3 linked regions of the Rattus norvegicus genome follow. The protein of the gene in region 1 interacts with the protein of each later gene in a biochemical or structural test. Links are inferred from orthologs where the notes say so. Each region holds a gene or a part of one and is shown in the gene's direction. Other genes may lie near its edges. The genes, in order: Mpdz, Crhr1 and Htr2a.

Region 1 (3,684 bases):
AAAGGCATCACTTTCATTCTTGTGCATTTTATGTGTTTTCTCCTTCAATATTTAGTAAATGTTAGAGAAACTCAAATTCTCAAATTGCTTTTTAGTAGACAAAATAAAATTATAACGCAATTCTAAATTCTGAGAGTTTTAAATTGCACACTCTAATATTAGACTTAGAAAAAAGAGAGAGCTGTATTTTCTTTAACAGGTGTAGGGCTGGGGTAGATTGTGGGACTCAGAACTGAGGTCAATAGAAATGTACCACCACCACCACCACCACTACCACCGCTCCCAACCACTACCTCCAGTGGCAGACAACTCTGAGCTCTTCTCAGGAGTTTGCTGATTCTTTTAATTGGCTCACCAGGCTAAGAATGCATCTTGATGTGCTAAGTAATTTCTCAAACAAGGACTTCCCTTGGCCACTTCGCACAGGCCACGAATGCAGAGGGCAGTTCTCACCGAGAACTAGAACTGCAACTAGAGACTGGGGCTGGGAGCATAAAACACTGCATTCTTAGCCCAGTTCAATTATTTTTGATAAAATATCAACAACACTGGAGAGAAAGTATTTCCCGCGCAATATTAGGGAAATGCTATACTTAAAAAAGAAGGCATTTCCCTTGGAAGTCACATTTAGGAGCCTGCCCCACGCCCCGCCGCCTTCGCGCTGTCCGTCACCACGCGGGCCCCGGCCCGGGCGCCGGTCGTTCCATCCCCGCGGCGGCTGGGCCGCGCCCCTGATTGGCCAGCGCGCCCCGCCGGCGTCACGGCTTCCCGCAGCCCGGCGGCCTCCGGGAGCCTGGTCGGCGCGCAGCGAGGCTGGCCGGCCGCGGGCTCCAGTTCCCTGGCTACGCGTGAGCGTTCCCGCCACACCGAGCTCTTGGGGCCGTGGTTAAAGCGGAGAGGAGCCGAGCGCTCTACCCACCCTGGGAGTCTCCTCCAGGCCGGCGAGCAGGGTAAGCGGCCCCGCCCGAGCCCTGCCCCCGAGACTCTGGAAGTTTCCCCGGCTGCGCGCTCCCTGCTGTGCTCTCCCCGCGGCCTGCGCGCCTGTTGCTGTGCGCGGGCCCGGGGAGTGCGGGAGGGCCGGGGCCTGGTGGGGGTGGGGAAGCGTGCGGGAGGCGCTTTGTGCTGGAGCCCTGCTTCGTGGGGCGCGATGGTGCGCCCTGGGTTGCTATTCTCCAGGGGCTCGGGGACTGGGTAGTTCCTTCCCGGGTCATAGGCGGCCGGGAAGAGGAGGCGGAGGAGGAGGAGGGGGCGGTGGCAGCCTGGGCGGGCGCTAGGGGGCTGCTCTGCTGGGGGAGGACGCCGCGAACAGGCAGGCCTGCGGGCGGAGGCTGGGGTTTCCTTCTAGCCTCAGATAAGAGGACGGTGACTTCACCAGCTAGAGGGAAAACTCCTCACGGAGGCGTTGTTTCAGTGTCCTGAGGGGATGAATCTGAGAACTGAGCCCAGGTCACCTCATCCTGTGCTGTAGGACAGCTGTGCAGTCGACATCACCTTTGTGTGTCCATAGACCTTCGTTTAGGATGCCCTTTATAAAATGAGTAATCTGGGAACACAGGAGGGGGGGTTGGTTCTAGGGGTATGGGAGGATTTTGCGTGTAGAATTTGTACAGAGATGATGATTTCTTAGCGGTCAAGTTATCCAACTTAGTATCTTACTGTTTTAGAGCCTGATAGAATCCAGATTAGCAATTGCATTTAAAACTCTAATAAAATTAAACTTTGAACGCCTTTGATTTGAACTTCTAATATAAGTTTTGAATAAATGCACCTGGTCTATTATGTGTTCCAGGATCCAGGAAAGCTAATTTGGGATGCTCTGTAATTTGTCTTATCTTCCTCACCCCATTTAAATACAAAAAAAGCAAAAATTGATGGGACTTTTTTTTCTTCAACATATTGATTACAGCACATATGTGCACTTTGTCTTTCACGCGTTCTTTTTCCCTTGGATTCTTCTAGTTTCTTCTGGATTTCTTTCTTCCTCCACATTCTTCTTTTACCACAGAACCCTGATGAGGCTTGGTGAGGGAGTTAAGTTTGTTTTTAGGGTGCTCCAAATTCCTGTCTGAGTCCCTGGGGGGTTTCTTTGAATTTCAGATGCTTTCTAACTAGGGAACACCATGAGGGAGTAAAGGTTGTCTATACAGCATACTTCCCGGCTGGTTGGAGGTTTCTAGAGCGATAATTTCAGAAATGCAAATTTGCATTGATTCAGTGCTTGGCGCTTTCAACATTTAACTAAAGTAGGCAAAGTGGTTTCCGTATGAAATCTTGGATACATGTTTTGGAGGTAAGACTAGCTGGGAGGGGTCTAGAAGCTTCTGAGCAATAGTAAGTGGCTTCCATGGTAACTGTCCTGAGTTAGTGAAAGATTATTTTGCCGAGTACATCCCAAGTCTGTCCTCATAGATTTGACTTGAGTTGAGTCGCAGATTGGCTACATATTTTACATTTATATTATGGTCAACATACTCTGAATTTCATCGAATACTTTGAGGCAAAGTTGACACACTGTACTGGACGTGCCTCCAAATACAGTGGAATAAACACCCCATCTGCCAGAGGAAGGTCTACACTCAAGAACGAAGAAACAGATGAGTTTGTAGTGAATTCAGGATTGCTAGATTGTCCGGGGGATGTGTCTCACTTCAGTGGGTTTGTAAAAATAAACATTTGGTAGAATTGCCTTGGGTAAATATAGTTAAATTGTTTCAAGCATCAGTTTGCTGATAAGACAGGTATTTTTCTCTTTTAAATTTAAGCTTTGGGTACCGAATAGTATTTACAGAGATTTGAGAAACTAGTATGGCAAATTTGTTATATTGTAATTAGTTAGATAACTTTAGTGGGCCTCCATAGGAGAAAGAGTGGGCAGAGAAATCAGTGCTAATTAATCAGGTGCCCTCAATATGGTGGCTAGGCAGTAATTAGATAGCAAGCTTTGGAGACTTGTTGCATCAGATTAAGCAGTGGCAGGACTGGAGGTGGGTCAGAAGGAGGCATACAAAATAAATACAGTGTTCTGGGAGCTTGATGTCTTTACTGATCACAGTCGACAATAGAAAGCCTTTGTGTGTGGTCTTCAGAAAAAGCGGCCAAAGGGTCTTAGGTTGTTTGACATGATGAAGTGACAATAGTTTTGCTGTTGTTGCTGCTGTTAACGTAAGTTAGTGTTTCTCATAAAGAAGAGAGCATAGACCTGTAGGTGAAATGGTTGGGAAGGAGGTGGGTGGCAGAAACTAGAGGGGAATATCAGTTTGTAGACTTCTAGAGTAGAATCGAAAGTTTGGGTCAAGGGAAAGTGGTAGGAAGCATGGATGGATGTGGAGCTGGAGTTTTGTTTTTCCCAGTGTTTTTCATTCTTATCTGTGATCTCAGAAAAGTCATCCAAATGTCCTTGTTTTACCAACTGTCCCCTTCAAAGCAGCCTAGGCTCTCCTGTCATGTCCTTCCAGACTCTTGTGGCATCTTCTACCCATTGCTCTCTTCCATAGCTACTGTGTGTGTGTGTGTGTGTGTGTGTGTGTGTGTGTGTGTAGTAAACGGCATCCCATTTCCAGTCTGGTGTACTGGACTCTACAGCTGGAGAACTATAATATATCTGCTGGTGATAACAGGAAGTGATGTCCTTGGTTCCCAAGCTCGGCAATCAACACGTGTGGCATTTGGTTGGTTTCTGTTTCC
Region 2 (3,653 bases), on another chromosome or scaffold:
TTCCACCTCATTTGTTGAGACTGGGATCTCTTCACTAAGCCTGAAGCTGTCAGTGTCGCGGGGCTGGCAGACCAATGATCCAGGGACCCACCTGTCTCTGGTCCTCCGTGTTGAAGTTACAAGTCTCCATAACCACACCCAGCTTTCATGAGGGTGTCAGGGATCCAAGTCCCAGTCCTCATTGAGCCAGATTCGGGTGTGACCAGGAAGATGGGAACTCAGTTTAGAAGCGAATAAGAAATAAAATTCTGGAGGGCTGGGGTCTCTGCACCCACCCGAGCCTGTGCAGCCAGGACAGAGCGAGACATGGGCATGTGTGGGCACTGAGTGTTTGTGTAAGTGTGCACAGTGTTAATGTGACACAGAGCGTCGTGTGACCTAGATACAGCCTCAGTTCCTATCTGTCTGCAACACGTGACAGACCAGATTCAGAGACTGGCCCAAGTGGATGGTGTTACTCCAAGGTGGCACGTGAGTGGCTCACAGGGTCACTCTGGGGCGGGGCAAACCCTATTACTGTTGCCCACTCTTCCCCAGCACCCCTCCCTGGTACTGTTCAGTACAATGGGTACAGAGGTGCGGCTGTGCAGGACGCTCACCTCTGCCCTCTCTCCTCCCTCAGAAGAAGAGCAAAGTACACTACCATGTTGCAGTCATCATCAACTACCTGGGTCACTGCATCTCCCTGGTAGCCCTCCTGGTGGCCTTTGTCCTCTTCTTGCGGCTCAGGTGAGAAGGCATGGGCACTGCCACCCGCCACCCCCTGGGACCTTGAGCGTACTGCGGGGCAGTGGGTAAGACCCAGGCCTAGCAGTGGGGTGGGGGCACTGACAAAGGGTCACCTATCTCTCATTTGGATAGAAGAGTATCACCTACGTGAAGCTCGGGTCTCTTAGGACCTCTGCAGAGTCATGCCTGTCCTTTCTCCCAGCAGCTGCTGAGGGAAGTAGGGTAGGGAGAAACGAGCCCAGGCTCACCTGCTGTTAGCAATGCCTAAAGCTGGTCTGTATCCATCTTGGGAGACCCCTGGAGGTGAGGGCTTTATCGAGTGGCATCCCTCTCACAAGTTCAAGTGAGCTGTGGCCAGAGTGACAGGAAAAAGTGTCTAGTGGGTAGCACCAGAAGCTGAAAGTCGAGACGGATTTTGCTGTTGGAGGCTTCTCCTGTTTGTAAGCACTCTGCTTTTCAATCCTGGGGTGTGAGGAATGAGAGGGGATCCTGACCACACCAAGCTTTTCCAGGAGCAGATGTCTTGGCCGCCCAAGATAGGAAGGGACCAGTGCAGTTCAGGCCAGCCCGTCAGTCCCACTCACGCCAAGCTTCAGTCTCTCCGTTGTTGTGTCTGGGCTGGAGAGATGCTCACACTTGCCCTCATCCTCTCTCTCCTCCTGTTGCTATGGCCACCTGCCCTCTCCTGCTGCCCCAGGAGCATCCGGTGCCTGAGAAACATCATCCACTGGAACCTCATCTCGGCTTTCATCCTACGCAACGCCACGTGGTTTGTGGTCCAGCTCACCGTGAGCCCCGAGGTGCACCAGAGCAATGTGGTACGTCTCAGCTAGAGAAGCAGAAAAGGCAAAGTCTAGGTCAGAGGGCGACCCTGTAGAAGGGCCAGGCCCGGGTACCCACAGAACAAGAATAGGACCCCAAGGAGCCTGAGGGTTGGACACTGGGGTCTCTGGACACCCCCAAGCTCATTGTCATCTCTGGTTGGGGCAGGCCTGGTGTAGGTTGGTGACAGCCGCCTACAATTACTTCCATGTAACCAACTTCTTCTGGATGTTCGGTGAGGGCTGCTACCTGCACACAGCCATTGTGCTCACGTACTCCACCGACCGTCTGCGCAAGTGGATGTTCGTCTGCATTGGCTGGGGTGAGCTGGGCCAGCCCCGCCCCTGCCTCTCCTCACTGAGGATATGGGCCAGCTGGGTCAGGAGGGTGGGATGCGAACTCTTCTTAGGGGTGAGAGTAGGGGGATTGCCAGGAAGCGTCAGAACTCAACTCCCACGAATCCCTGCTCTACTGTGGGTCCCTGGCTGACCTGGGGTCCTCCAATGACATCTGCTTTCTCCCTCAGGTGTACCTTTCCCCATCATTGTGGCTTGGGCCATTGGGAAGCTGCACTACGACAATGAAAAGTAAGCTACTTTGTGAGGTCAGAGCCTAGCTCTATAGTACACTCCCTAGGGGACTTGGGCCATTGTCTCTCCTGTAAAGACAGTGGCTTCTGCGTCCACAAAGGCAGAGCAGAGCACTGGCCTCAATTCTAGGATCTTTTCCAGTGCTCTGCTGAGAAGGTGGAGCTAGACAGCCAGGGTCCCAGCCTGTTACCTGTCTGGAGTTTTAAGGAGAGCAATACCAAAAGCCACACAGCCCAGGTGCTGGATTGTGCCATCACTGAGTGGCTATGTGTGACCTTGGAGCTCATTGTCATGGCAGGCCTCAGTTTCCTCATCCATGAAATGGGCATCTTCATTTTATTTATCACCTCTAGGCTGTAGTGGGGATGAAGGGCATCAATGCATACTAAGCACATAGACTAGTTAGTACCTGCCAGCCAGTAGGTGCTACATACATTTTTATTAACATCAAGGTGTGTTTCGTAGTAAGATTCTATTGGTTAAAAAAAAAAAACAAAACTAGTCCAGGTAGTTTTAAAGACTCTTCCAGCTGGATCTGAATCAGCCTTGCACATGGGGGACTTCCCAGCCGTCCCTCACAAGGATCTTAGGGGAAGATCTAGAAAGTTCTATACCTCAGGGCTCCATGCTATTGGACTGTCATGGCCTGGGTAGCAAGGTGGTTACAGTGTAAAGCGAAGATTTAGAACTTCACAGAAAGACCGAGAAGGTGGGAGGGGCCGGGCAAGACAGTCTGGGTTACACATAAGCATCCCCAGCTCCCAGCTGGCTGACTGGAGGGTTCACATTGACAGACTCTCCCCTCCCCTCACTGGGCTGCACGAGAAGCCTGGGAAAATATCATCCACATTTGTGAAGGTTGTTCTTTCTACCTCAGGCTGGGTTTTTTATGCAGCAGCAGGGTAGGCGGCAGACTACAGGGAGCCAGTTCACTGCCGTGGGTGCGCAGTATCCTGGGGGCGGGGGGTGGTATCCTCTTGGGAATTCCTGGATGGGGGAAGCCTGTGCTTTGAAGCATATGAAAAATTGAGTACAAGAGACGGGGCAGAAAGAACAGGAGGGAGAGATGGGAGAAGAAAAGAGATGGGCAGAGAAGGAAAACCCAGAAACGAGCCTGCTCCCACCCTGGAGCGGGAAGGACGCTATAAGGTTAGGCGTGAGCAGCCCTGTAGCCCCCTCTGGTGGATAAATGCAGACAGTGAAGCAGAAGGAGCGGGGAAGATGAACTGAGAGGCTCCGGGTCCCAGTCTGGAGTCCGTAAACAGTGGTGTGTAACCTGAATGGTGTTTAAAAATCAAAAACAAACAAACAAGAAAACCTTGACATTTCAGTCAGGAGGTCACATATGCTAACTTCCCATTGTGGCTTACAGCATCCATTGCAAGTCCTTATACCCATCCATAGGAACGTGGGACTTCTGATGTACCCAGTCCCAACCTACTCCTGAGGCTAGCTCAGGGGGATTGTAAGGCAGGCCTACATCTTGCAATGAGTGTTAGCTGTGAAACCTTC
Region 3 (2,710 bases), on another chromosome or scaffold:
ATAATGGAAGTCTGAACACAAATTTGATATTTCATGATGTGGAAGGAAACTAAATTCCCCTTTAGGAGAAAGCCTGTCTATGATAGTGAGTTTCTCTGAAAGGGTGTCACTTTCAAACCTATATAATAAGATGTGTACATGTTTAGTCATATGAAGTCTGAGGTTTGCTTCAAAACAAGGAGGGAGGTCCCAGGTGAGGACCCTGGAGGACACAATATCTGTCCTGAATTTACAACTGTAAAAGCTAAGGGACTTCCTTGGCTTTGTCCGTTTTGGGGTTTCACAGATGTTAAAATTTCTCTGAAGTAAAAACTTTTAAAAACTAACCCAAGTTCATTTTGAATTACTTGAAATTAACAGTAGAGAATGTTTTCCAAAAGTAGTTTAAAATATGTCCAACTTTGAAACCGGCCATGGTGGCTCATATAACTCAAGCGACTGAAGCAGGATGGATGTGAGTTTGAGGCTATCCCAGGCTAGTAGAAGACCCTGTCTCAACTAGCAAAGGTTTTATAATAAATATTAAATGAGATAGGACGATCTAAAACTGCGACATAAAGTCCTGTGCAAACAAAAGTAACCTACCTTGGTGGCGAGAGTAAATGGGATTTTCCTTTAGTCATTGTTACCTTTTTCATATTTTTCAAATTTGCTAGAAAGCAAATATGTTAGGCTTATACGTTCACAAAAGAAGTAAAGAATGCTGATAATATAATATGAAGTGGAAAGTCAAAAAAATTGTAGATAAAGTAGAGCTTCGTCCTGTTGCCCAGTGCGTGCCTGGGTATGTACGTGCATTGGGTTCATACGTGCGAGGGCACCTGAGTGCGTGGGTACATACTACGTGCATGGGTACGTGCGTGGGTGGGTACGTTCGTGGGTGAGTGCCTTCCTGTATGCATCATGTGTGTGATACATGCTCAAACAAACATGCTTAAACTGCCCTTGCGGTTAGTCTGTTGATGAGGTTTTAGTGGTCATTTTTATTTGCTTCATTTTGCCATTTTGTGTTTTTCTCCAGTTAATAAATAAAATATAATCAGAACAATATGGAATATCAATTAGCCCAACTTTCATTGCAGCAATATATTAAACTCCTACAGTAAGATGGCTTCAATTCCTTGACCAGCCAGTGTTATGTGGTGAAGTTTTCACTTCATATTCTCAGCCCCTTGATCTGTCTCACTTTCTGTCCTTCCAGGTATATCCATGCCAATCCCAGTCTTTGGACTACAGGATGATTCGAAGGTCTTTAAGGAGGGGAGCTGCCTGCTTGCCGATGACAACTTTGTTCTCATAGGCTCTTTTGTGGCATTTTTCATCCCCCTAACCATCATGGTGATCACCTACTTCCTGACTATCAAGTCACTTCAGAAAGAAGCCACCTTGTGTGTGAGTGACCTCAGCACTCGAGCCAAACTAGCCTCCTTCAGCTTCCTCCCTCAGAGTTCTCTGTCATCAGAAAAGCTCTTCCAACGGTCCATCCACAGAGAGCCAGGCTCCTACGCAGGCCGAAGGACGATGCAGTCCATCAGCAATGAGCAAAAGGCGTGCAAGGTGCTGGGCATCGTGTTCTTCCTGTTTGTTGTAATGTGGTGCCCATTCTTCATCACCAATATCATGGCCGTCATCTGCAAAGAATCCTGCAATGAAAATGTCATCGGAGCCCTGCTCAATGTGTTTGTCTGGATTGGTTATCTCTCCTCAGCTGTCAATCCACTGGTATATACGTTGTTCAATAAAACTTATAGGTCCGCCTTCTCAAGGTACATTCAGTGTCAGTACAAGGAAAACAGAAAGCCACTGCAGTTAATTTTAGTGAACACTATACCAGCATTGGCCTACAAGTCTAGTCAGCTCCAGGTGGGACAGAAAAAGAACTCACAGGAAGATGCTGAGCAGACAGTTGATGACTGCTCCATGGTTACACTGGGGAAACAACAGTCGGAAGAGAATTGTACAGACAATATTGAAACCGTGAATGAAAAGGTTAGCTGTGTGTGATGAACTGGATGCTATGGCAATTGCCCAGGGCATGTGAACAAGGTTATACCCATGTGTGTGGGGCGGGGATAAGGAGGCTGCAACAAATTAGACTACTCCAGTCGACCAACTATAATGTCCTGACAGCATTGGAGCTAGGAGTGTTACGATGCTTTAATTATTGCCAATGAGATCTCTAAAACCATTGGCCTTTTGTGCAATTGTAATGAGGCATAAAATGCATCTAAGTAACTTCTATTGTCAAATACGAACCTGGCTGCCATGTTGTGGATGGGTAGCATGGGAGTGAGTTGGTGACTTATTATTGTATATAAAAGTAGCTAGAAATACTGAAAATAATGAATAGCTTAAAAAAGTGTTTCAAATTCACCACGACATATATTTTGAAAAGAAAAATAGACAGTAATATGACATTTGTATTGCTAATATAATTCATTGAAATACTTGACAATATTTTTCATTCTTGCTTTTTCATAGATGCCATTTTGAAATGTTCACAAGACCGCTAGCATTTGCTGCATTTGTCGTTAATTCTCAGATGTGGAAGGGTTTTAAATGTTATTCGATAACACGCTGCTTTCTCTTCTACTTCTTGGGCTTTACCTGAATTTGAAATGTGGTCTTGTTTCGTATATTTTTCTTCTCTGTAAAGTATCAAAGGATAATTCCACTTTCCCAAGTACAGTTCTAGAACGCGCTTCAAATA

What was found.
Region 2: the proteins of Mpdz (region 1) and Crhr1 form a complex in vitro, tested with the Homo sapiens proteins (2 studies listed by BioGRID and IntAct, with this or other methods). The link is inferred for Rattus norvegicus from reciprocal best matches to the Homo sapiens genes MPDZ and CRHR1.
Region 3: the proteins of Mpdz (region 1) and Htr2a form a complex in vitro, tested with the Homo sapiens proteins (2 studies listed by IntAct, with this or other methods). The link is inferred for Rattus norvegicus from reciprocal best matches to the Homo sapiens genes MPDZ and HTR2A.

Annotation. Positions count from the first base shown.
Region 1 is NC_086023.1:100,963,641-100,967,324, reverse strand, and holds the start of Mpdz (multiple PDZ domain protein), read left to right. Parts: upstream 1-820; 5' UTR 821-950; intron 951-3,684. UniProt on the Homo sapiens protein: Member of the NMDAR signaling complex that may play a role in control of AMPAR potentiation and synaptic plasticity in excitatory synapses. Promotes clustering of HT2RC at the cell surface.
Region 2 is NC_086028.1:89,574,959-89,578,611, forward strand, and holds part of Crhr1 (corticotropin-releasing factor receptor 1), read left to right. Parts: intron 1-622; coding exon 623-729; exon of another isoform or gene 730-794; intron 795-1,426; coding exon 1,427-1,547; intron 1,548-1,719; coding exon 1,720-1,873; intron 1,874-2,077; coding exon 2,078-2,138; intron 2,139-3,653.
Region 3 is NC_086033.1:56,426,609-56,429,318, forward strand, and holds the end of Htr2a (5-hydroxytryptamine receptor 2A), read left to right. Parts: intron 1-1,201; coding exon 1,202-2,004; 3' UTR 2,005-2,095; downstream 2,096-2,710. UniProt on the Homo sapiens protein: G-protein coupled receptor for 5-hydroxytryptamine (serotonin).